Nothobranchius furzeri: one gene and its partners. The protein of the gene in region 3 interacts with the protein of the main gene of each other region in a pairwise test. Links are inferred from orthologs where the notes say so. Each region holds a gene or a part of one and is shown on either strand. Other genes may lie near its edges.

Evidence for each region.
Region 1: the proteins of cyth1b (region 3) and itgb2 interact in a two-hybrid assay, tested with the Homo sapiens proteins (2 studies listed by BioGRID). The link is inferred for Nothobranchius furzeri from reciprocal best matches to the Homo sapiens genes CYTH1 and ITGB2.
Region 2: the proteins of cyth1b (region 3) and cytip interact in binary tests that used the Homo sapiens proteins (3 or more experiments, as listed by UniProt). The link is inferred for Nothobranchius furzeri from reciprocal best matches to the Homo sapiens genes CYTH1 and CYTIP.
Region 4: the proteins of cyth1b (region 3) and itsn1 interact in a two-hybrid assay, tested with the Homo sapiens proteins (2 studies listed by BioGRID and IntAct). The link is inferred for Nothobranchius furzeri from reciprocal best matches to the Homo sapiens genes CYTH1 and ITSN1.

What each region holds. Positions count from the first base shown.
Region 1 is NC_091746.1:33,743,059-33,749,740, forward strand, and holds the start of itgb2 (integrin beta-2), read right to left. Parts: upstream 3,686-6,682; 5' UTR 3,596-3,685; intron 1,303-3,595; 5' UTR 1,175-1,302; intron 1-1,174.
Region 2 is NC_091754.1:18,854,864-18,861,381, forward strand, and holds the start of cytip (cytohesin-interacting protein), read right to left. Parts: upstream 3,686-6,518; 5' UTR 3,148-3,685; coding exon 3,001-3,147; intron 2,828-3,000; coding exon 2,781-2,827; intron 2,694-2,780; coding exon 2,639-2,693; intron 2,539-2,638; coding exon 2,436-2,538; intron 2,340-2,435; coding exon 2,246-2,339; intron 2,163-2,245; coding exon 2,096-2,162; intron 1,895-2,095; coding exon 1,828-1,894; intron 1,605-1,827; coding exon 1,129-1,604; 3' UTR 1-1,128. UniProt on the Homo sapiens protein: By its binding to cytohesin-1 (CYTH1), it modifies activation of ARFs by CYTH1 and its precise function may be to sequester CYTH1 in the cytoplasm.
Region 3 is NC_091756.1:44,727,876-44,734,666, forward strand, and holds the start of cyth1b (cytohesin-1b), read right to left. Parts: upstream 3,665-6,791; 5' UTR 3,434-3,664; coding exon 3,346-3,433; intron 1-3,345. UniProt on the Homo sapiens protein: Promotes guanine-nucleotide exchange on ARF1, ARF5 and ARF6. Promotes the activation of ARF factors through replacement of GDP with GTP.
Region 4 is NC_091752.1:40,905,460-40,910,773, forward strand, and holds the end of itsn1 (intersectin-1), read right to left. Parts: intron 1,954-5,314; coding exon 1,845-1,953; intron 1,755-1,844; coding exon 1,606-1,754; 3' UTR 1,386-1,605; downstream 1-1,385. UniProt on the Homo sapiens protein: Adapter protein that provides a link between the endocytic membrane traffic and the actin assembly machinery. Acts as a guanine nucleotide exchange factor (GEF) for CDC42, and thereby stimulates actin nucleation mediated by WASL and the ARP2/3 complex.

The DNA.
Region 1 (6,682 bases), on a different chromosome or scaffold from region 3:
TTTGGAAGATCAAACCAGGTTTTTTAACAGAAAATTTTTAGCGGCATCGAACCATCCTTTTTATAAACCAAACAACTATTAATTGTTTAACAAAACTGCATCAGATGCAAAATGACCCGCCAGCTTCCAGCAGTCACCCAGGGGAGCATCTCACTGACCAGCCGTGCAGATTCAGACGACTACGGCCTTTGATATCTAGAAGTCAAGCAACTCTTTTACTCAGAAGACTCTCCACCCGCCGCATCGCCAAGAACCCTCATCACACGGGTACCATAGCTCTGCACACTGGCTTTTGATGGGTTTTAATTAATTTGATAACTAATTAAACATCACTGCTTTTAGCCAGATTATTTTTATAATCCCAGATATCACATCCTTTTCTAAAACACTTAATTAGAAACTAAAGTTTCATTTAAGTTTGGTTATTGTCTCAGTTGATTTTACCTTAAATAGCCATTTATCTACACTTATTCTGTATGATCATTAGAAATATAGTAATAAATAGATTTTTATAAACTATTTACGTCTGTGTCAAATTATTGGTAAGTGTTGGTTCCCTGGCTACCCAAAGTCAACTGTTTCCAGTGTCAACTGGATATTAAAGGCTCGATAATATTATTGATTAATAATTTTTAGGAACATCACATCTGTTGAATACCTTTCATATTTCATTGACAGTTTAATAATTGCAACCACGTACACAACGTCACAGACCACCACAGGTACGTGACCCTCCATTAGTGGTGAGCAGAATACATTTTTGTTTAGTATTCCTCCCAACAGAACTATGTAAGCTAAGTAGTGACAGCAAAAAAGATGAGTGTTTTACTATCCTTCCTCCTAATGGAAACAACTGAAAAAGGAGGTGCAGTGGAAAACATATGGTAGACTGAAGCAGGGTTGGGACTACACCTTTACATGTGACTTGTGTTAACATTGATTACGCCGGCAGCTGTTAGCAAACAGGAAGGGAACACCTAGACATCAGATGCCAGTGCCTGTTGATTATGTAGCTGTAAAAGTTCAACACACTGGCATGTTCTGTAAGAGTTCGCTGTTACTGATGAAGGATTCAGACCAAAGCCCCTTCAACACATTTGTTCATATTAAACTATGATTTTTTTTTCAAGTGATTTATTTATTTTGACACATTCATCGATTTTTAGTCACGTACCTTTAAAAGACGTGTGTTAAAGTGGTGCACAGTCACCAGTTTCCACGAGTTTTCTGTTACACAGGAGAAACAGATGCTGCTGAACTCAGACTGGAACAAGTTGCATCCTCCGTTATTATGCCATTTACCTACGGAAATAACAATGATACACTTATTTATTTGACATCAGTTAAAAAAAGATGTGAATGTGACCCAGAAGAACGGTAGATGACCGACGGGAGAAAGACTCCATGGTAAATGGTAAATGGCCTGTATTTGGTATAGCGCCTTTGAGAGTCCTGGAACCCCCCAAGGCACTTTACAACACAATCAGTCATTCACCCATTCACACACCTATTCACACCCTGGTGGTGATGAGCTACATTGTAGCCACAGCTGCCCTGGGGCACACTGACAGCTGTCTGCATTTAACAGCCGCCACCGGTCCCTCCGGCCACCACCAGCAGGCAGGGTGGGTTAATAAAGCTTCCTCCATGAGTGTTTCTAAGGAGTTTCATTGCCTGCTTGATGGTAAAACCTTTACAACAACACGACAGTAACAAACACCTATGAAGGGCCAACAAGGACATTATATCAGATGACCTTCTCTAAAGTGTGAAAATGGACACTGTACAACATCAACCGGCTGCATATGTGCAGCCTTCATTTAGTTGTTTTACACTCTGACATCAGTGACACCTTTTGCATTACTTAGGTGGTGGCCTGGGATGGTCTCAAATTCCCAGCCTGACTCATTGTCCCACATATTCTATGTATATTTCATTCTAGGTTCCATTTTTAGCCTTTGATTAAAAGTTTAGTAAAATATTGATTAGGGAGCTTTTCCTGAAATACATAGGAAATAAGCACCATACCATGCACTCCAAGTATTAGTTTTGTTTGATCACACTCCTGTCTGGTTCATGGTGGCACAGCAGAATACTCTTAACACGGTTCTTCTGCCCCCTACAATTTCACGCCCCAGCTGGCTGGCCCCTTCAAAATTTCTTCAGGATTTTTTTAGTTTCTTCATTGTCGTTTACATCCAGAATTTTTTCTTTTGATTCACCTTTCATAATGTTGATTTCATTTGTGTTTAAACCAATAGATGAGTAATGTCTGAAAGGGAGACTGAGCCAATGCTCCCTTGTAGGATAACATGCATGTGGTGGGGACTGATATGGGATGTTCTCTTGTCTGGTGTGCTCTTCCTGGTGGGTAATTTCAGTGTGGCTGAAGCATTTCAGACAGAATTCTCTCCATGCTGTATTTTTTTATTTTATTTTTTTTACAATAATCTAAACAAAATGAACCAGCAAGAATGGAATAGAATACTTTATTTTCATTGCATAAAGCAACATACAAGATTTGTCCAGTTCTAAGATGGACATACACCAAATGTACATTCATACATGCTCTGCCGCTGGCTCAAAATATCTGTGATGTGATGCAGCTGTGTGTAAAAGCCACAGAGTTCTGTGATGAACTAAAAGCGAACGGTTGCAGTTTGTCACGACTTCACACCATAAAAGGAAGCAGCTGGAGGCTGAAGATCTAACTGAGTTACTGTAACTTCCTGTTTCTCACCCGGGCTTAACCGGTTCAGCTGAATCCTCTGTTTACCTGAATCTTAACTTGAGTTATTAAACTTAAACCTGAAACACAGTAATGTGACATCTGCTCTGACTCAAGTTAGAAACATTCTGTAAAACCTGCCAGTTCACATGAGCATCACCCTGGTGTCCCACAGGGATGGGTCAAGGCACCATCAAGTTTGCAAAATATCAGTGGGCTATTATTTAAAACACAGGAAAACAATCACATTTTGCCATGAAGCTACTTTCATTTCCAAAAGAGGGCAATCTCTCCTGAAAACAGAAGTATTCACACAACCCCACTAACTTCCTGTTTTATTGCTCTATTCTCAAAAAGGAAACACTTCTGACAGAGTATTTAAAACAAAACAATTAAAGTTGGATTTTGCTTTGTTCATCCAACATGAAAACCTCAACAGGTTGTTTAAAACCACAAACTGGGAAGTTCATCCAGTTTCAGACACAATCATTTAATGAGCTTTCAAACCAAACAAAAGACAGTTTCAGAAAACTGGCCTCACTCATGTTCCCTAAAAGGTGACCAACCCAGACAGCCTTCAGTTTAATGAGGTCCTGAACCAACAGTACTTCTGGTGCAGTTCTGTCTGTAGATTAGTACGTAAAGCTTATTTATAAAGCATCACAGAAATAATCACCAAGGAAACCACATCAAACTTAAAACATGATTAAAAGGCAACCAATAAAATGAAAGATTGTTAAAAAGCAAATGAATAATAATAATTAACAACAAAAAAGATTATAAATAAAGATTCTGAAAAAAAAATTGGCTTGCAGCAATTCTCAGCAAAACTCATAATAACGACATAAGAAAATGCTGTCAACTCACCAGAGCCTTCACTGTGCTTTTTTTGAGCAGCTGCGGAGTTACTGGAAACAGAACCCTGACAAACTCCGCCCACAGCACAGGTCCTTCCTCTTGTGTTAGCTTTATGTTTCTATTTAAAAATATCTATTTAATATATTATTATTTATCATCCAATGTGTTTCTTGTTAGTCTGTATCCATGAGAAGTTGGTTTTTAGTATTTGTATTATGGCCTCTTACAGCTATGGTAACATCTGTGGTGTTACAGGTCAATTTAAAGTCTTACTTACCACAGGAACAAGGCAAGACATTAATAAAATGTAGATTTGCAAGGTTAAACAAATAACCTAAAATGGTGCAAGGCCATGCAGTGGTATGCATGTGCATCAGAGTAATCCCTCTAAGGTGATCTTAGCAGAGCTCATGTTTTCAGCAGAGGCACGGCATATTTGTTCTAGGTCGATAAAATGTCTCTGTGTAAGAACATGCACGTGTGTGTTTTGATGCATGTGTGGCAAAATGTGCAACTTTTAGTGGTTTGGCTGAATTATTATTATAATTTTTTTTTGCAATGACAGCAGTGTGTGTTTCTGCTGCTGATGCTAGATGTGCCTTAACATCCCTTTCTTTTAGAATCATGGGGTCTAACAGGGTTACGACTGTAGCTGTTGATACAGGCGTTTGCTGACACTGATGCTCTTCCTGTGGGCGTGGATGGAGAGCTCGGTGCAGCTTCCTTAAAGCTGAGGCAGCTCAGAGTGTGCCTTAACTAGGGAACTTCCTAATTCTTCAAGACACATTCTCCTCTTGTACCTACAGGTTGAGTTCCTCCCTTGGTGAATGTTAGAAGAAGAAGAAGAAGAAGAAGAAGAAGAAGAAGAAGAAGAAGAAAATATCATTTCTATAGCGCCTCTCAAGATAAAAATCACGAGGCGCTTCACAAAAACAAAAATTGTAAAAACATAAAGCATTTAGAAAATGTTTAAAAATATATTTAAAATGAGCAAAAATAGACAATTGTGATTAAAAAATGTTAAGAAAGAGAGAGAGTGAACAGGAAAGAGGGAAATCAGTGGATCCTGAGGAAGGTGGAATAGGTGGGGAGAGCAGAATAAAGAGAGTGGTGAAGAAGGTCATGCAAAAACCAGCTTGAACAAGTGAGTCTTCAGCTGTTTTATAAAGGAGACCACTGAGTCCACTCATCTCAGGCTCAGGAGGAGAGAGTTCCAGAGTCTGGGGGCCACAGCAGCAAATGATCTGTCACCTTTGGTCTTTAGCCTGGTGCTGCACATCCAGTAGGCTTTGATCACTGGACCTCAGGGACCTGCTGGGGGTGTAGGGACTGAGAAGATCACCAATGTAAGATGGTGCTTGTCTATGTAAGGCCCTATAGACCAGAACCAGGATCTTGAAATGAATCCTGAAGTTGACTGGCAGCCAGTGAAGCTGGAGGAGAAGCGGGGTGATGTGGGTGTGTTTGGAGGGCTTGGTCAGAAGCCGAGCACAGGCATTCTGAACCACCTGTAGACGGTTCAGGGAGGTTCTGCTCAGACACGTGAAAAGAGAGTTACAGTAGTCTAAGCGTGAGGAGATGAAGGTGTGGACAACTGTCTCAAGTTCAGAGCGGGACAGAATGGGACTCAGCTTAGCAATGTTCCTGAGATGGAAGAAGGAAGAGCGAACAAGAGAACTGACATGAGAATCCAGAGTGAGAGCTGGGTAAAAGGTCACGCCAAGATTCCTGACAGAAGGTTTGGTGTGGGGAGCAAGCTGACCAAGAGAGTCTCTGACAGCGAGCAGACACATGGAGGATGTTACAACACAATCATTGGTCATTTGCTACCAAGTGTAGGTGGCAGTCAGCTTGTCCACTCCTTGTTCGTGTTGGGCTAGGATAAAAGTCTTTGTCATGTCCTGATGACAGCAACCATCAGTACCAGACAACAGCAGTGGTGGTGCCTGTGCTTCACCTGCGACATCTGAGCGAGCAGCTCAGGTTTATATGTGCACTCCCCATCATGGTGAGTTTCCCTATATTTTCAGGGAAGCTGCTTGCAGATTTCCAGGTGTAAATCTGCAGCCATATTTGCCTGGTTTACTGGGAGAGGAATTTCCCACATTCAACATTTTTATAATTATATAGTTTTCTGGAGAAAAAAAATAAAATATAAATTAACAGATTTAGTTACTCTCACCGAAGAATCAGAACACACAGTGTAAAATGACAAGGCCTTTTATTTTGAAACAGGCTGATCAGAGCATAGAAAGACAGGTTCTCACAGGCATTAGAATGAACTCAGAACAGGACTGGTGGTTCATGAGGCCTTCATGATCGCTCATCCTGTCACCAAGAGTGAGCTCCTCAGGCTTTAAGGCATTTCACTACATTGGCATGAAGAGGGCTGGGTAGAGAGGTCCGAGTCCAGACGGTCATTTTTAGATTCCATACTTCTGCTTCAGCTCCTCCACCAGCTTGATGTACTCACTAATGGCATCCTCCTTGTTCTTGCCTGGTCAAAAGAGAAAACATAGACTTAAAACTCATCAAATAACCCAAAGTCTCAACAGTGACTTCCTTTATATTTAGTAAATGGCCTGCATCTTTGTAGCACTTATCGTGGAGATTACAAAGTGCTTTACAGTACCATCGTACACAGACACACACACACACACACACACACACACACACACACACACGGTGATGAGCTACATTGTAGCCCCAGCAGCTCTGGAAACACTGACAGCAGTAAACAATGATCTCCAACCTTTCTGCTTCTCCCAGGCATCCCATTTAGCTTTCCCAGTGAAATCCAGCATCCCTGGACGAGCTGGAAGGAGACAACACACTGGTTTCAGAAACCAAGAAGAAATTCCATCTGTTTTAGAGATTATTGAGTTTATTATCAAAGTCAAGTTTGAGAACCAAGGAGAACTTCTCATAGGAGATACTGTAGTTTATATTGAAATGACTCAAATCTAATATAATCTGAAGGTATGAAGTCCTCCTTCACATTGACCTGTATTCAAACTCAAAGATGACTTGGATTAATCAGTTTTAAAGGGAAAGTTTTACAAACATGTTCTGGAGTGATAAAATCAGTCTTCCGAG
Region 2 (6,518 bases), on a different chromosome or scaffold from region 3:
AGTTAGAAAGTTTTTTTTTAATTACTTCATAAATTTACACCATCTGGATTTGATGCACAGAAATCAACAGCAGAACTTTCATATTTGCGTATAATCATCAGTAAGTGCAGAAACTAGCAGTGTTAGAGTTTCAGAGCAAAGAAATTCAGTTGAAGCAGATGTGGTTTCGAAGTGATTTTAGAAAAGAAAAAAGAAAAGTAAAGTAGTACTCTTCCGCCCACATCCTGTTTTGAACTAAGCAAGCGTATATGTGTGTACGGTGTAGATTTGGTTTTGGTTTGGGCACCTGGAAGTCTGCTTAAATGTTCTTTAGGTCACATTTTAAAACTGAATGCGCATTATTAAATCTCAATCTGCTCTGGTTAATGCTACTAGCACTGAGGTACAAAAAGGAAATTCTCATTCAAGTTAGTAGGATACAGTAATTCATCTTCTGTACATTTCAGTCTGTCGGGTGTACATTCATCCAACACATTCATTTTGTAATGCTTTCCCACTCATTGTAATTTCAGTGAAGCTCACTGAAGGCTCAAAAAGCATTAAGGTAAACCTTCACCCAAAAAAGGTAGTCCTTTTTCACTTGATGGGTTCACTCAAACCCAAGTTTGAGAAAACTTATAATAGTTCTGTGGTCAATACAAAACATATTTATGAAGTTATTTCCATATAAAGAATATCACATAAAGAGATCTCAGCAGTTTTGATGGTTTAAGCACCTTCCAGAATGAGCCGTTTCAGGTCTCTGTCACTTTAAGAAAACAAGCTGGAGCTGGCCACGCCCACTCATCCCCCGCTCAAGCTGCTGTAAGCTGAGAAGCTCAGATATCTGTAAGGGGCTTGAAGTAGAGCCACAGCTCCTCCAGCCTGGAGATGTCAGAGGGGGCTCTATGCAAATGTCCCCGTTTGTGACATCACAAATGAGGGCCTTTTAAAGCGGCTTGTTTTAAGCATCCAATACCTGAAACCAAACATTGACGGGTGGTTTTGATTTTCACATTTCAAGTGTTTATAGAGGCAGTAGAGACCCACATGGCCACACAAACAGATGCAAAAAGTGAGTTGTGCATAAGATGCCCCCTTTAAAGTGTCCAATCGTATTGTTGTGTCTACACATGGATGACCAGTAGGTCACTGAGTGGGTGTCGCCATCTCCTCCTCTTCCACTGATCTCTGAAGTGCAGGAATTAACTTAAAGATCTGTTGGCGCACAGTGCCTCTCCTGCTCTTTCTGGGCAGAGTTCCAAACAAGGACGAGATCCTCGTCTCATCCCAGGATGGAGATAAGGAGGTGTTGCTGCCGGCCAAGCTGGAGCTGCTGGAGCGGCTGAGGGCTTGGTGGTGCAGGCTGCTGGACGAGAGCCTCTTAGAGGCATCCTGTGTAGGAAAGTCTCTGGAGAAGAAGCAGCCATCATCCGTGGTGCTGATCGCGCTGCCAGGGCTGGGCGAGCTCAGCTCCCCGAACACGCTGGCCTGGTCGCTGTCGTCGGTCATCCCGCTCTTGTAGCTGCTGTCGCTGGAGAAACGTCGGCCGTGGCAAACGACAGGGGAATTCAGAGCAGCCTGGGCCTCCATGAGCAGGTCGAGGCTGCGGTTGTTTAAATTACCTGAGAAAACAAAACAAAGTTGCTGTCAGGAAAAGTTTCCACAACCGGAAGGTCATGCGCGGCTTCTGCTGTATGCTGATTTCTCAGGGAAACACCAGCAGCAAAATCATCGACAGTTTACGCGCAACAGCGTTTCACATGTTGAAGGCTGCTTTAGAAGAAAAGACTAGGCATGTGTGAGAAAGGAAGTGCTGTGGTCTGACAGCTGAGCCAAGCCTCTCACCTCGCAGTAAACGTTTTTCCTGTAATGTGAGCGCCTGGAGCTCCATCAGCTTCTCGCGATGCGACTGCTGCATGGGTGGAAGACATCACAGTTATGATTTACTAAATATGTCAGCTCAAAAAGTAAGGATTATAAATGAGAAAAGAGGCAATGGATTGACCTTTAGCTGCGTATCTATTTAAAAAGTGACTGTTTTTAGCTTCCAGGTGGGCTCTTGCAGGCTGATGAGCCCTTTTTAGAGCTGCTCAACACCAGTGAAGGGACTCACCTTGAGTTGGTCCAATCTCTTCTCCAGCTCTATCTGCTTCAGGATGTTCACACACCCAGTCTCCATCCTGAAACCAGATGATGACATAGTTATTATGCTAGTTTTAAATAAATAAGTGACATTTTGTTAAAGATCAGTGTTTTCTCTCACTTTAGGTTGTTGGTCGATTCTCGTATTAGATTAAGCACGAGTTCATGAGAGAGTCCTTCTATGCTGACCCCGTTGACAGTAATGATGACATCACCTATGACAAATAAAGTGAGAAATCATTATGGGATGAGTTTTGATGGGTTATCGTGTCTGAGTTGGGTCTATGTGGAGGAGGATGTGGGTGGTTTACCTGCGGTCAGCCCGGCACTCTCAGCGACGCTGTCCTCCTTCACCTTGCTTATGAAGGTGCACATCTCCACTGCAGAGCTGGTTTTCTGCTTCAATCCATATGTCTGCAAACAATAGGATCACACAAAAAAGCACTGTCATGCAAAACTATCATCTCCATCATAAGCAGAATGTGCATTTTACTACGCTTAAAGTAGAGCTTACCTGGATTTCAAATCCGAATGTTTCATTGTCGTGCTTCTCCAAAACGGTTGAGGTTCTGTGCAGAAGATTGTTGCAAGAATAATTGAGCGATGCGAACTTTTGTATGTAATAAATCTAAAACGGAGCGTTCTGGTCTGCTTACCTTTGTGGGTCTGAGTAATCAACCAGTGAGGTGGTGGTTGGCTTGGGCTGCAGATGGGAAAAAACGTTTCTTTTAAAAAATAATCAAAAATATTTCAACCTTTCATTAAAATGTTCTTTAGCTAATCCTTGTGTGAAGTTTGCAGTTATGAACCAGTTTTGACAAAAAGCCGTGTTAAAGATCATGCTTTATACAAACAGCAATTGGCTTGTCGTCTCACCTTGCAGGCTCTAGGTTGAGTTCCAGCGTTCTGTCGGTGTCGATCAGTGTTCCCCCTCAGTGAGCGCCGGTACCACAGAGGCTTCTTCTTCAGACTGTTCTCCTGCACCTCCTGGCTGCTCTCCCGCTGAAGTCCATTAAAATTCATGGTGTTTAAGTGGAGTTTGTTCTCAAAGCATCATCTTGTCCCGCTGCAGCGGCTCTTCTGTGATTGTGTGGCCCTGACCCGCTGTGCTGCCAAAAGCCAAATGTGTGACAGCGGAAATCCACGTCATGTGAGGGTTGTGGCGGACCTGCATCTGCAGATCACAGCCTACCACGCACCTATTTTCCTGTTCACCTCCTTTCAGCTTTTTCTCTCTCTTTCTTTAGAAGTGCTGCTCTGCTGTCTCGAAACGGGGAAAAGAGGAAGAGTGCTGATGCTATTGTGTCTAATTCCCCCCTTCAAAGAGTCCCTTTACTTTTTGTAGTCATAGCAATTCGATTTATGGTCTGTCAGAAAGCAGCAATGCATGAAAAGTTGCCACCTCACTCCCGCAGCAGCACCTGCTTGCACACTTTTTCACTCTCCGTTTCTCAATGGGCTAAGCCTCGGTCCCTGTGTTCTGCCAAGCAGGCAGACTTGTCTTGTGAGGGCGGACAAAAGGCTCAGGGGCCAGATTCGAACGTTTAAAACACATAGCATGGGTCATTGGGCTAAAAGCATCAGACATGGTTGGATCAGATGAACAATCACACACTGGGCCGGACAGAAGTCAGGGAGACTGTGGTAAACGAGTTAAAGGAACTTCTCTCTCTGCAACACTTGTGATTTTTTAAATGTCTTCATGGAAACCTGAAAACTGTTTCAGCAACAGTGCATTAGAAAAACACATGAAAGATTCCTGAAATAATAGGTTGCGTCACAGTAATCCACTCCGTTCCACTGATCCTCCGCTGGCCAGCTGATCACGAGACTGTCTGGAACATTTCAGAGGACGCTGCAAATCCCCAGCCACCCCATTAGATATTACATCGCGTCCAAAAAAACATTTTAGTTATCTGTTCTGAACACCAAACCCTGTCTTTTTCATTAAAAAATAAAGCTATTTGACAAGCTGTGACAAACTAGACTCAAGATCTGTTTAATTTCTGCTAAAATTTGGACATTTTATCCTCTTTTTGCAAAGAAAATGTGCATTTTTAAATAGGCATCCACAGATGTGTGTTCTTCTGTACAAACTAATATCCTCGTCTTCAGCAGCTCCTCAGCCCTTTTGCAGAAGCATCATTGTTTCAAGTGTCTTTATAATTTGCATATTTGTCTACCAGTTTCCTCACATATGCTGCCTGTTTCAAATCCCCCCCAGCAACAACTAAGTGGGTTTTATCTGTCTAGTTCAATAACCCTTTTACTTCTTTTTATTAGTTGATTTGTCAATGTGCATAAGAGTTTCTGGTTTTAAATGCAAAATGTGTTGTTTCACTTGTTACTTCTGCTGATTTCTCTGCATCCACAGATCATAACACTTCCACCCACATGCTTCACATTTGAGGTTCTTGCTTTTAAAAAAAAGAAGTGGTTTAGTAACTGACATGATTTGCTTGTGCAAAACAGTTTGTTTTATTCACAGTTCATCTGGTCGATTTTTTAGCTTTTCGGTCATTTCAAAATGCAAATTGTTGCAAACAAATGCAAGATTTTCCTGCAGATTTGCAGTTCTTGAAGCTTTTTGAATTGAATGGATTTAGTGGGATAAATCGGATAAATACACAAGAGGTGTGCATTATTTTTGTAAATACAACTTGACAAATGGGAAGTGATTATATGTTTGTAGCATGAATCAAGATCTAAAATTCTTCTGGGTGTGATTCTAAATATTCTTTATCAAGTTGTCTGTTGTGTGTGGGGAAAATACAGTTTCATTCTATTTTTTAAATGTCATTATTGTGCTTTAAATGTTTTTACAGCTATTCGGGTCAACCAGTACCTAAATTAATTATATGTCGAGATTAAACTGGTCCATGTCATCTGTAGATCCTCCACCGGAGGATAGAAGACAGGTGTAGAACTGAATATTTGCACATTTCTGATGAATATACTAGTCCTAATATTGGAAGTGCTGCATATAGCAAAAAAACTAGTCTACATGAGGTTAAAATAGCACTAGTTAGTTTTTAATGATGTTGCTTTCAAACTGGTTTCAGTGCTTCTTGAGTCAGAAACTTGATCTGCTCGACATTGACACTCTGCTGCCCTCTGCTGACCAGAAACTACACTTAACAGTTTTGTGGTTCTAGTTGGCACCATAGGTCTCTTACTTCGGACAGCTAACCGTTCTCTAGCTGAGGGTGAGTGCACGGCTCAAATAAAAATACTCATAACTCAATGAAATATTAACGGATTTACAAACGGTTTGCCTCATTACAAACCGTATGATACATAGACTTGATGCGGGAAACTTACACATGTAGAAATTACCGTTATTACTTTTGAAACACGACATAACTGTGAACAATGTGTCCCGGCTAAGCTATGTTGCGCGTTAGGTTGAGAGAGAGACCACAATCAATATTTTTATAGGGTTCGTATGGTTCAACGAAAGTAAGAAGTGTACGTAAACCTAATGTTTGTCTAAATGGCTGTCTTGGTGGATGTTTTAGTGTTTATTAGCTGTCTAACTTGGCTTAGAGAAGACGAGGCTGCCGTGGCTGCGCCGCTTAGCTACAACGTTTTTACCTCAGTGGAAGCTGAGGGTAAAATTGCCCTTGTTTTCCAGGCGGCTTACTTTGTAAAAAAAATGTAAAAAACTTAGACTGAAGTATATTAAAATAGCGGAAATTGCTGGCTTTGTTTTTACAGAAATACACGTGAAACCCAACAAGCATGACTTTTGTGCTGCCTATGGATGCTCTAATAGACGATGTCTTCAATCACGGCAACGTGGGATCACCTTTCATTCGTAAGATTTAACAAAAACATTCAACTGTGTTAGGCTGATTAGTCTCTGTCATCTGCTTTGCTTTTAACTGCTTTTTAGAAATAACAGTGATGGCAAAGTTTAAGATCTATCAGCTAACTGTGATTTTAAAAAGGTTAATTGCTTGAATTCAAGATTTCTTGGTTAATCAATCATTGCATGTTTCTGTCTTGACACCATTTATTTAACTATTGTTTGTCTTATGTTCATGTTAAAGGAAAAGGCTGTAAACTATTTAGAATGATTTATAAAGCTGCCTACATTTTGTCTCTTGTTTAAGATTTCTCAAAGATGGAGAAAGAAGGAGGCAGTGGGAAGTTGCCCTAAGAAGTGTCTGCGATCTTCCTCAGAGCTGACGCTCAGTGGCGTCACGATCAAAACTGTCAGCAAGGTAAAAAACCTTCCCCGTGTTTCAAAAATAAGCTAAAAAAGCAGTCAGAAGAAAAACACAAAAGATGTTTGCTGTCTTTTGAAAAACTGCTGGCTTATCAAATCCCCCTGAGAAATACATACAATGAATAAATTCCACACTTACTAATCATTACTTGTTTGCCTTTAG
Region 3 (6,791 bases):
TCTCACCGATTTATTAAATCCCCAGATTTTAGATCTTAAAAAAACTTCCTAGAAAATTTTGTTTGATTTAAATAAACTATGTATTTTATTCATCTTTGGTCTTCACAATCAGAGCTGCTTCTGCCTTTTTTCTCTCTTGATCAAATTTGTTCTGAGCTACAAGATACGCTTGAAGTTGAAAATTAATGAAAAAAGATAAATATTATTTAACAACCTATATAAATTAAAAACTGTAGTTTGAAATCAATGAACTACTGTATATTGTTGACTTATGTGCAAATTAAACTTTTGTCAAAAGGGAACAAAACATTTTCTGGTGAAAAATTTCTTAGAACAAACAAAACACTTAATTATGAAAGTCTATGTGATTATTTTATTACTGCAAAAAAAAACTATTTCACTCTTTAAATAATTAAGCATGCTTGAAAGTAGAGTGAGCATAAAACTGAGGCCATTTTGTGGAATATTTAATTGTGACTAACACATTTTCTTCCAAGATTTTAAAACGCTTGATAAAAACAACATTTCACTTTTACTTTTCTTTGTTTTTCAAATACATCACAATTTTGCATTAACTAGACAAGCTGCAGACCCCTGATCTAAGCAGTTCTCCAAGGAATGAGTTTTATTGTCTATTGTTTCTATTTCTTGGCTCAGTAATCTATTCTAAATACATAAAGTTAGTTTACCAGCAGTTTCCAGATAGACATCTTTAGCAGTTGCAGTGATTAATTAATAAATAAAAACAAATAAATATGTGAACTTATTCAAAAAAATCTTATAATTTGTCTTCAATCTGGATTTGTGTAACTTTTGTTCAGCAAGTTGGCAGTCAGGTAACTTTTTCCACATTTCCCCAGGAAGAGGAAACAGGGCTTGACCAGATATGTGTTGTAAAAAAGACATTAAAATAACAGCCCCCACCTGCTGAAGTGAAGCAACACATTCAGACTCATTAGTGTGAAGGCGAGGGGGCAGATCGGCTGTCGCTGATGGACCGGTGGTGTGTGAACGAATGTAAGGAAGGGAGAGGAAAGGGTGTAGTGAAGGACAGAGGAAAAAGAGGGCAAAGGATTGCAGCTGTGTGATTGAATCGCTGCTTTATGTGTAGATTGGACACACCAGAAACAGGATATGTCGAGGTGTGGTGAGAAAGAGCTGCTGAAGTGTAATGGGTCAGCCTAAAGAACACAACTTTCCTTTGGTTTGCCTAATTACTGGTGTTAAAGTTTTTCTAATTAAAGCAGATGCTTTTGTGTTTGAAGTGAAGAAGCCTGTGTGTGTGTGTGTATACACGTACCCTTGTTATTATTTTTCTTCTAATTATTCTCTTAAGTGTTGGTGCTGCTGTAACAAGTGACTTTCCACTAAATAAAGTCTGCTCTATCCTCGAGGTCATCAGAGGGGAGCAGGAGCGTCTAATATCACTGATCACTGACCAGTAGCTACTACATGTCACTAATGATGATGATTCCTCCCACTTTGGTTCAAACTATGTTACGCACAAAACAGGGTCGAAAACTGCATAAGCGACTTTCCACGCAAACTTTGGGATTTATGAAAGAAAACTTAGCGGAAAAATGTGCGCAACTTTAAGTTGACTAAGGACCTGGCTTACGCACGTTTTGGACATGGAGAGTACCTGCAGTGCTGCTGCTGAGAAGGATAAAATTATGAAATCCAGCAGCATTATCACTTGTACTGCTTTGTTTTCACACAGAACAAGACCCCCCCAAAATGCACACACATGTGCGCGCACACACACATGCGCGCACACTCACACACACGCACGTACGCACGCACACACACACACACACACACACACACACACACAGTTTGAAGCACAGAATACGTAATGCAGAATGTCAGCAGGGAGACAGATTGAAACAGAATGTCATGTGTCTGTGACAGTGTGTGTCCTGTCACTGTGACCCGATTGATCATGCACCCTGGCTACATGTACAGGGGAGATTTCCGTTTGGGTGACTGGTTAGCGTGTGCGAATTTTACCTGGGAGTCTGGGGATCAAATCCTGATTGGATAATTTTTTTTTATGTCCGCCACAGATCTCTCTGAAGAACTCAGCATTGACGGCTTCGGCAACATTGTGTGACTCCGGATTTTTTCTTATTTGTTTTGCAAAAGCACTTCCTTTCATGTCTCTGCCTCACCCACAGGTACCTCAACTTCTGCTTATGAAATAGCGCTTCCTTGATCTGCGGTCGTGATCAAAATGCTGCAACAGCCGGCATATGTATATGCATGAGATCCACAAGGCAATTTGCATTGACTATTTATGGCAGTAAGTGGGCATGGTGAGGGCGGGATGTGACTAAAAAGCAACTGAGAACCTTTCTAGATAGTTTCTGATTTATGAAGCAGAGATTGCGTGCAGCTGTGCGTACTCCATGTTTGATAGATCACATACCTACTTGGCGTAAGTACATTTTTTTTGCTGAGCTTAAGTATGGTTTTAGTAAGGATTCTATGCAATGTTTGATAAATGAGACCCCTGGTGTCTTCATTTGAACCCTTTTGGATTCCCATGAACTGGATGACTGAGAACCTTTACCAGCATATCTAATTAATTTGACTTTTTATTTTAAATTGGACAAATGTCTGCTGAGGTTTGTCCTTTCTGCTGAAATAATGGCGTCTAAGGGTACAGATATAATTTTAAACTAAGTTTGACCAGTATAAGCCATAAGAGGGAGTCTTCTTAATATCTAAAAGGGATTATTGGTGAAATCTTCCCTGTTTTAGTGACTTCAAAGCTTAAAACAAAATGTAAATTCGGACAATAGAAACTACAGAGTGCAGCTATATTCATGAAAACTGCAAGGGAAATGAACTTAACCCGTGTGAGGCTCCTTTCAAAGCACAATGATGGCTTTTGAACAAGTGCGTTGACGCAAAAAAAAAGGCACCTGCACGGAGGGAGAGCAGTGGGCAGTGATGGAGATTATGTCACTCCAGCACCCACTGGAGAGGAGGATCCTGGACCAGGCGAGGATGATGAGGGGCGTGCGTCATGTTCTCAAATCAAGCCCACCTTCTCACACAAAACACACACGCACTGACTCATGTGTACACATGAACGCAGAAATGTCAGAAACACAGCATGGCACACACACACACACACACACACACACACACACACACACACACACACACACAGAGAAAGAAAGCTTCATCCTGAAAAATCACCACGGCAACTAAACACTGGAGATACTTTGTTTTCCATTCATCAAACAAAAGCAGCACATTTTTTTATCTCAAACATTTAAACTATAAGATTATAGCAAGTTAAAACATGTTAAGTGTTTAAAATTAAGGATCACTCACCTGAAGCAGCAGCAGGTGTCCCTGTTCGAACTGCAGGACACAGAAAAGCTTGGAAACTGGACGCACACAGCTCACTCACAGTCCCCATCACAACACAGTCACTGATTTACAACAAAAACAAACCGACTCAGGTTAGCAGAATCCTCTCAGCATCCTGCTGCTTTTCTCCCTGAAGCATCTGTGGACTCTGGTCCCTTGAAGAAAGAAGCATCCGTGTTTTCTTCCCAAGCGCCACCAGACTCTGACAAACTCTCAGAGAAATACTCTCCACTCTGCTCTCTCTCCTCCCTCCCTCCTCGCTGTTGTTCACACCACTTGACCTCTCCCGAATTCAGCTTCTCTCTTCCTCTGCTGCACACATCCAAATAAATATAAACATTAAAAACACACACCGTTCTGTCAAAGGGGAGTTTAAATAAGTAGAGGTGGCTTTAGTGTTTATAGAAACACACGCCTACTGCTGTGTCACTTTGAACAGTTGTTATAAAAACTATTCTTGGAAACACACACACACACACACACACACACACACACACACACACACACACACACACACACACGCACGCATACATGCACACACACATGTACCTTATATCCTCCTGTTTCACACCTCCACACAGACGCCTCAGTGCCCAGTTTGGTTTAGGCTGAACATACAGCTAGATGTGAGTGGAAAGATGCATTACTGCTAATTATTAAAGCCCTTGTGAGTAATGTTCAACTTGATCCACAAGTTTGAAAGCAACAATATACAAAAAACTCACAAAAAAACCTTATTTGTTATGTACGTTAGTGAATATTTATTTCTAGCCCTTTGTTTTATTGTTGTTTACTGTAAATGCTAAAGTTTGAGGAGAAAGTGACTGAAGAGTCAAGATGAGAACCTGTATTTTCACAAAATACTTAATTAACTCAATTACAGTCCAAGGTTCTTTGACGACGAGGGGAACATTTTGCTAGGACTAACTCATTAAAAGTTTTTAATCATCCCTTTTCCCTCATATTTTGCTTCCAGTGAGCTTAATTTTCTTGCATTCTTCTAAATGGTCTAGAAATCAACCAGGTTTTAGAAAGTCTTTAAAAGATTTTAACAGAACTTTAATCTGAATAGTTCAGTTCTTTTTGGCTGATTGTGTGTGTGTGTGTGTGTGTGTGTGTGTGCGTGCGTGCGTGCGTGTGTGTGTGTGTGTGTGTGTGTGTGTGTGTGTGTGTGTGTGTGTGTGTTTGTGTTCACCAGAACATATAGCAAATAAATAATAGACAATCAAGTCAATATGGTACAGTCTCCTTTCAGAAAGAGTGAATTGATCACATTTAATTGATTGGATCAATAAAAAAAATGAAGAAAATAGTTTGACAAATGAACACAATTTTAGCACCAAGGAAGTGGTTCTCACAAAGCTGTTGGATCAAATCTTGATGTACAAATGAACAAATGATGTTATAAGGTCTGTGTAAGGATCTCAGCAGGATTTTTTTGGTAACACTTTACAATAAGGGTCCATTCATTAACGTTACATGCATTATTAAACATTAATATATTATTAAATAAATACTGCTTAACCATATTATGCAATGCATTATTAAGCAGATACCCACCCCAGCCTTTTCTCCTTAAGGACACTTAATAGTTAACAATGACGGTAACATTAATAAAGGGACCCTTATTGTAAAGTACAGATTTTTCTTTTCTTTTTCTCGGTCTTCAGCTTGACTCTTCTTATCGTTTTAAACACAAACTGCATCGTAACATCAAGAAAATGACTGGAAAAGGTCCTAAAAACCTTTAAAGGCCTGGAGAAAATTAAGATACGTTATAAAAAAAATCTCTCTGCTTGGAAGCAAAATATATAAAGTAAATAGAGATTTAAACTTTGCAGTTTTGTCTGATGAATAAAAAAGGTAACAATCAGACAAACAACGTTGATGCCAGTATCCCTGCAACAGCTGAGTGTTCTGAGTGTCCCGATCATGTTTCAGAGAAACAGGTTCAAGTAAAAACATGTGAAACATGTCAGCAGCTGTCAGGGAGCCCTGGTGTGTTGTTCCTCTGGCTCCTTTATTTAGACCTAACCCAAATAGAAGCTGCATCTGCTGTACAGGAGCGGGGCTGCTGTCTAGACAAACACCATATGAGTGAGGTGGACATCCATCCAAAAAGGATCCTTCCTTTGTTTTAATACAGAACATCTCTCCATTCTTTCTCTCCATCATGTCTCCGTTCTTCTTTTTGTTCATTAAATCTGTTTGATCTCCTTCGTTCCTCTCCTCTCCACAGAGCTGACATCCTTTCTCTCACACTTGACCTCGTCCTCCTTTCAACTTTCTCTGCCACTTATTATCGCTCCAGTCCCAGAGTGACTGTTCTATGAGGGGCCGATTTTAAAGTAGTGGATTGTTTAAATTAACAGCTACATTTGACCACTTTAGCATTTTCAACAATTACATGTAATTACACTTGGCTCTTTGTGAAAATGAAAACTTTGTCACCATTTCACAATATTGTTTCAATAAATCACAATGTTATGTCTAATTGTTTAAATCCTAAGCATCTGAAAAGATGTTTAGGATCAATCAATAAATAATTAAATATAGAGAATAAACAGAAAGTGTATAATGTTAAACTTAAATCTTTTAAAAATGGTCTAAATACCCATAATTAAACCTAAATTTTCAGAATAATATACCCATAAGTCTAATGATAAACATTTAAAAATAATCACAAATGTTTTAATTTAAATAACCAGAACCCCGTACAACACCAACATAAACCTAGTAAAATGTGTTATGGTTTTAAACCAAATATTTAGTTAAAGTGTAAAATCAGACAGATGTAAAGTAAACCATCAAAATAATAGTGATGTGAATGAGTCATCTGTCTGAGGTCTCAGACTCTTTTTGAGTTAATTCAAGCACAGAATTAGTCGATTTTGGGCCTCTCAGCAATCATGTTAGGAGATTTTCCCCTCATCATGTTTTTGTAGACTATTTACATTTTACATTGTGATTTTTTCATGTAAATTGAATAATTACTTTAAAACCCACTTCATTTACTGTATGTCCAAATTTCAATATGTAATTTTTATGGAAGAGGATTAGGGCCACTGAAAAGAAAAAAAAGAGAATTCTGACTTTTTTCTAAGAATTCTTTCTTTAATCTCAGAATTATATCTTTAATAATCCTGAGGAAAAAAGTCAGAATTCTGAGATTAAAGTCAGAATTCTGAGAAAAAAGTCAGAATTCTCTCCATTTACTTATTTTTTTTCTTTTCAGTGGCCCTAACCCTCTTCTGTAAACCCGAAAGGTGTTCTAAAAATAATTATTTTTTACTATTGGAATCTTTTCTTTGAGCCTATAGCTCATGAAGCTTTGCCAGGGCTCACAATGGCCCAGGAGCCTAGATAAATGACAACACACAATGGAGGTTTCAGTTTGGAGCCCTAGT
Region 4 (5,314 bases), on a different chromosome or scaffold from region 3:
CTGTCTGCAACAAGTAAGATAGCAATCATTTATAACTTTTACACAGAAAAAAACTTCCAAATGATCAGAAATGTTTTGTGTTGTTAAAACAGACTTTTTTAATCTACGTTTTTATTAGATAATAAATGTATCTGCAGCTGTCTCACAAATACATCCAGCTGTAGCTGAAATAAAGCAAAATGGAGGAAAAGCAAATCTTTCACAATATTAATAATGAAAAACATATTTATATTTTTAAATGATCCATTTAGGGATGATAATTTATCTGGAGACTCCTGGAAGCAGAGGCTTCAGATTTGAAGCTTCAGATATCATCAAGAGGAGAGAGTGATTTGTTTTTATTTAAAAAGCAAATAAAAGATTGATAGTAGTCGGACTATAGCTCATTAGTTCAAGACTATTTCAGCTAATGTCTGTTGAGATCATGAGGCAGGAAGCAACTAAGAGCAGCTACAATAAATGTGTATCAAGGTATAGGCAGAGACAATTATGCTAAAATGAAACAGACTTGCCTTCAAATATTTGTGTTGTTCCAGGCAATATTTCCTACACTGATTACTCAAAATGGTCTCTTTGATGGCTTAAAGAAACACATTTTTTCTCCAGGGAGTACCAACGAGCTTCTTCCGCTTTAAAGAAGCATGTTCCCTTGTTGCATAGAGACGACCACTAGGACAGCTTGAGATGTGTGACTGAAAGGATCTAAATCTATGACCAATATTGGTCCCAAGCATTAAAAAAACGAGTTAAGAAATTCTTCCTCCCAGTACTTTGATTTAATTCAGCTTTGAACTTGTTCACTGTACCCACTGTAACTTTAACTGGTACCTCATCATGACCGTAGTCTGTAGTCTACACTGGACACTTGTCATGTATGGAGTAAAAATCTGTCTATACTTTAGCTTATTAGCACTGTTAGTATTTCTCAATACAACTGTACATATTTACCCTTTCCTAGGATCCTGTGGCAAGTGTTCAGCAGACAATAAAAAACAACCCTCTGAATGTCCCTTTATGTTCTGTAGCTTGGAAAGGTCTGTAGGATGCGGCATAAAAAATGTAGACTAAACTTGCGCTTTACGTTGCCTGTCCACCTTACGCGCACACACACACACACACATGCGCACGGATACACACAGCAGTTTGTTTAGATGACAAAGGGATTGTCACCAGAGCGTCTGTAGGACAGACTGGCTGAAGCAGCAGGAGGAAACAGGAAAAACCCATCTGATGTTCAGCTTTGGACCACACGGAAGGAGGACACGAGCAGAATAGACTGGACACAACTGGGCTGGAAACTGGTCTAGGTTTGATTTCTAGATGGATCCATTTCCATCATGGTGCAGATGAGTTAATCTGGATAGCCCGATATGCTAGATAGTGAATGAGAGTTTGGGGAAATGACAGAATCGTGGAGTCAAACACGCCACATTTCTAGACAGGGACACCTTTCAGCAACTATCTATTATTATGAGGAATAATATAAACATTCTACTTGAAAAGCTCCAGACCAAAGCAGGTCTCCAGTCTGGTCTGTTCCAGTCCAGCTGCGGAGTCCAGTACCCATCTCTGATCCCTTTTTTGGCCCAATCCAGTTTTCGGGGTTCACGGTTCCTCAAACAGCTGGAGGTCCAGCCTAACAACGATCTCCCCTGTGGGGACCTCGTGGAGCAGCAGCCTCTTTGTGATTGGTCCTTTTGAGCCCTGGTCTTTTTTAATTTCAGCCAACCGGATCTCAGTCCTGCCGAGGAAATCTGCAGGAAACAGGATGAGAGGATAAATCTGAAGCATCTTTAACCTGGACGGGTGACAGGAAACAGGATGGTGTAAAAACTGTTACAGACCATCAGGAGAGAACTGGTCTCGCTCAAACACAGTGATGCAGAGGACGTCCTGCTCAAGGTCCTTTATAAAAAACTGACAGTTGGAATTCCACTTGGGATTCAATGTGTCCTGCACACACAGAAGACAGCAAACTGAACCAGCGGAGTTCCTCTCAGAGAAATCATATTTGGCCTCGTGTAAACAATGACATTTATTAACGTGATAGAGCCATTCGCTATTTTACTGACCAGTGAGACACAAGCTCAAAATTAGGCTCAATGTTCGTAGAAGTTGAGCCATCAAACTAGAGCTGTGTCCAAATCCTTCCCAGGTTGCATTAGAAGGGAGATTACATCAGTGATGCAACAGAGGCTGTCCACATTCAGGCATCTCCAAATTTGTCTTTCTTGTCCCCAAATTTGAAGGATGGCTCTGGTGTATCCTTACTGGCCCACACCATCCCAGGATTCATAGCTAGCCAAAAATGACTTTTGTTCTTGTAACAACGGTGGACGAAGTGGGAGAGGATAAAAGTTTTCAATGTTTGGTTAACCCTCTGGAGGCAGGCGTTGCAGATTCGCAATAGTTAAAACCTACCTACCTGATTACTTCACATACGTGTTTCATGAGCATTTTTTAACTCAGAAGTACCCCTGAAGGACTTAGTTTTTTGTCCTTTTATCAAAACTTATTTTGAGCCTGAGAGGGTTAATAATATATGGTGGTACAAAGATTAAAAGTGGTTGTGTTGTTTAGTTGTTGTAATTATGTTTAAATGTATGTTTTTTCCAGAAATCATAAGAAAAATACTTGAAAGCAAGCTCACACTTCGGTATTCACCACTCATCCAACGTGTGAAACCTGCTGTGAGGACAATTAAAGTGTGGTCAGAGGGGACAGACGCGGTGCTCCAGGACAGATTTAAAAACACAGACTGGAATATGTTCACCAACACAGACCTGGACCAGTACGCCTAATCTGTACTGGATTACATCTCCGTAACCACAGACAGTGTCACCACCCAGAAAAGGATCACCATGTACCCCAATCAGAAGCCTTGGATGAACCGGGATGTTCGTCTCCTACTGAAGGCCCGCAACACCGCTTTTAGGACAGGAGATGCACACACCTACAGTACAGCCAGGGCTAATCTAAAGAAGGGCATCAAAAAAGCCAAACACCATTACAAAAAGAAGATAGAAGAACACTTCTCCAACTCCAACCCCTGACACATGTGGCAAGGACTCCAGACCATCAGAGACTACAGGATCACCAAACCCTCCCCCGCATCCTCTGATGTTTCCTTCCTCAACAAGCTCAACAACTTTTATGCTCATTTTGAGCGAGGGAACCTCACAACCACAACCATAACAGACATGACGCCAGACCACCAACCTCTGACTCTCTCCCCCACCGATGTACAAGCGGTGCTGAGCAGGATCAATGTCCACAAGGCTGCAGGCCCTGATGGCATCCCTGGGCGTGTTCTCAGAGCGTGCTCTGGGGAGCACGCAGGTGTGCTCACAGACATATTCAATCTGTCCTTGGCCCATGCTGTGGTACCGGCCTGCTTCAAATCCAGCTCCATCGTCCCGATACCCAAAAACTCCAACCCATCTAGCCTCAATGACTACCGCCCGGTAGCACTCACCCCCATCATCACTAAGTGCTTAGAGCAGCTGGTCTTAGCACACTTCAAATCCAGTCTCCCCCCCCACCCTGGACCCCCACCAATTTGCATACCGCCAGAACAGGAGCACAGAGGATGCAGTCTCCATTGCACTGCACTCTGTCCTCTCACACTTGGACAACAACAACACCTACGCCAGAATGCTGTTTATAGACTTCAGTTCAGCATTCAATACAATCCACCCCTCACAACTCATCAGGAAACTGACAGACCTGGGGATCAGTTCCCTCACCTGCAAATGGTTACTGGACTTCCTGACCAACCGCCCTCAACATGTCCGACTGGATAACCGCTGCTCATCAACAGTCACAATGAATCCTGGTGTACCACAAGGCTGTGTGATGAGCCCTTTCCTCTACTCCCTTTTCACCCACGACTGCAGACCTGCTGATGGTTCCAACACCATCATTAAGTTTGCAGATGACACCACGGTGATGGGCCTCATCAGTGATGATGATGAGACCGCCTACAGGGAGGAGGTGGACCGTCTGACTGAGTGGTGCGACACAAACAACCTGCTGCTCAACACTGAGAAGACTAAGGAGCTCATCGTGGACTACAGGAGGAATGCTGACCCACATCCACCCATCCACATTAAGGGGACGGCAGTGGAGCGTGTGAGCAGCTTCAAGTTCCTGGGAGTCCACATCTCAGAGGATCTCACCTGGACTACCAACTGCTCCAAGCTGGTCAAGAAGGCTCACCAGCACCTCTTCTTCTTGAGGACTCTGAAGAAGAACAACCTGTCCTCAGACATCCTGGTGAACTTCTATCGCTGCACCATCGAGAGCATCCTGACCAACTGTATAACAGTCTGGTATGGGAACTGCTCCGCCTCGGACCGGAAGGCGTTGCAGAGGGTCGGGAAAACTGCCCAGCGCATCGCCGGTGCACCACTTCCTGCCATAAAGGACATCTACAGAAAGCGGTGTCTGAAAAGGGCTGGGAAAATCATCAGAGACCACAGTCACCCATCACATGCACTGATCACCCTGCTGCCCTCTGGGAGACGTTACAGGAGCCTCCGGACTAAGACCACCAGGTACTCTTCCCCACAGCTGTCAGACTCCTGAACTCTGCCTCCTGACATATGACCCACGTTAAACTCATGGACTGCTTGTATTAACTACAGCCTGTACATACTTGTAGTCATAGAATACGCATAAAATAATTCATACCGTGTACATTATAACATACGTAATAGATCCATTTCTGTAATATACTTACACATCTATATTATTGCTAATATATATTGTTCTACATCTATATCACGGCTAAAGCACTTCTGGATGGATGCAAACTGCATTTCGTTGCCCTGTACCTGTACATGTGCAATGACAATAAAGCTGAATTCTATTCTATTCTAATTCAATATGGAGGGTCCAATTTTTCTTCGTGTATTTCTATCAAGTTCAGTTTGAACTTCAGTTTGGCACTGTCACTGTTGCTAAGCGACAGGACATATGTTGAAGCAGGGACAGGAATAAATACGAAGACATGACCGTCCAAATTCGCATCTGGTTCTTGCGGTCTACGTGGACCAGGTGAGACGGGTCCTGACAAGAACACAGCCGAGGAGTCGCATCAAAGAAGTTCTTGATCCGTGAACACTAGGTGTTTCTGATATTTGAGGGTGTACATTTTCATGTTTCTACATTACTTTAAAGTCCCATAGTCATCATACACTGGTGAAATTCATCTCTGCATGTGAACCATCCTCGTGGGGAGCGGTGAGCTGCAGCAGTGGCTGCACTCAGGAACTATTTGGTGGCTTAACCCTCCAGTCCAACCTCTTAATGC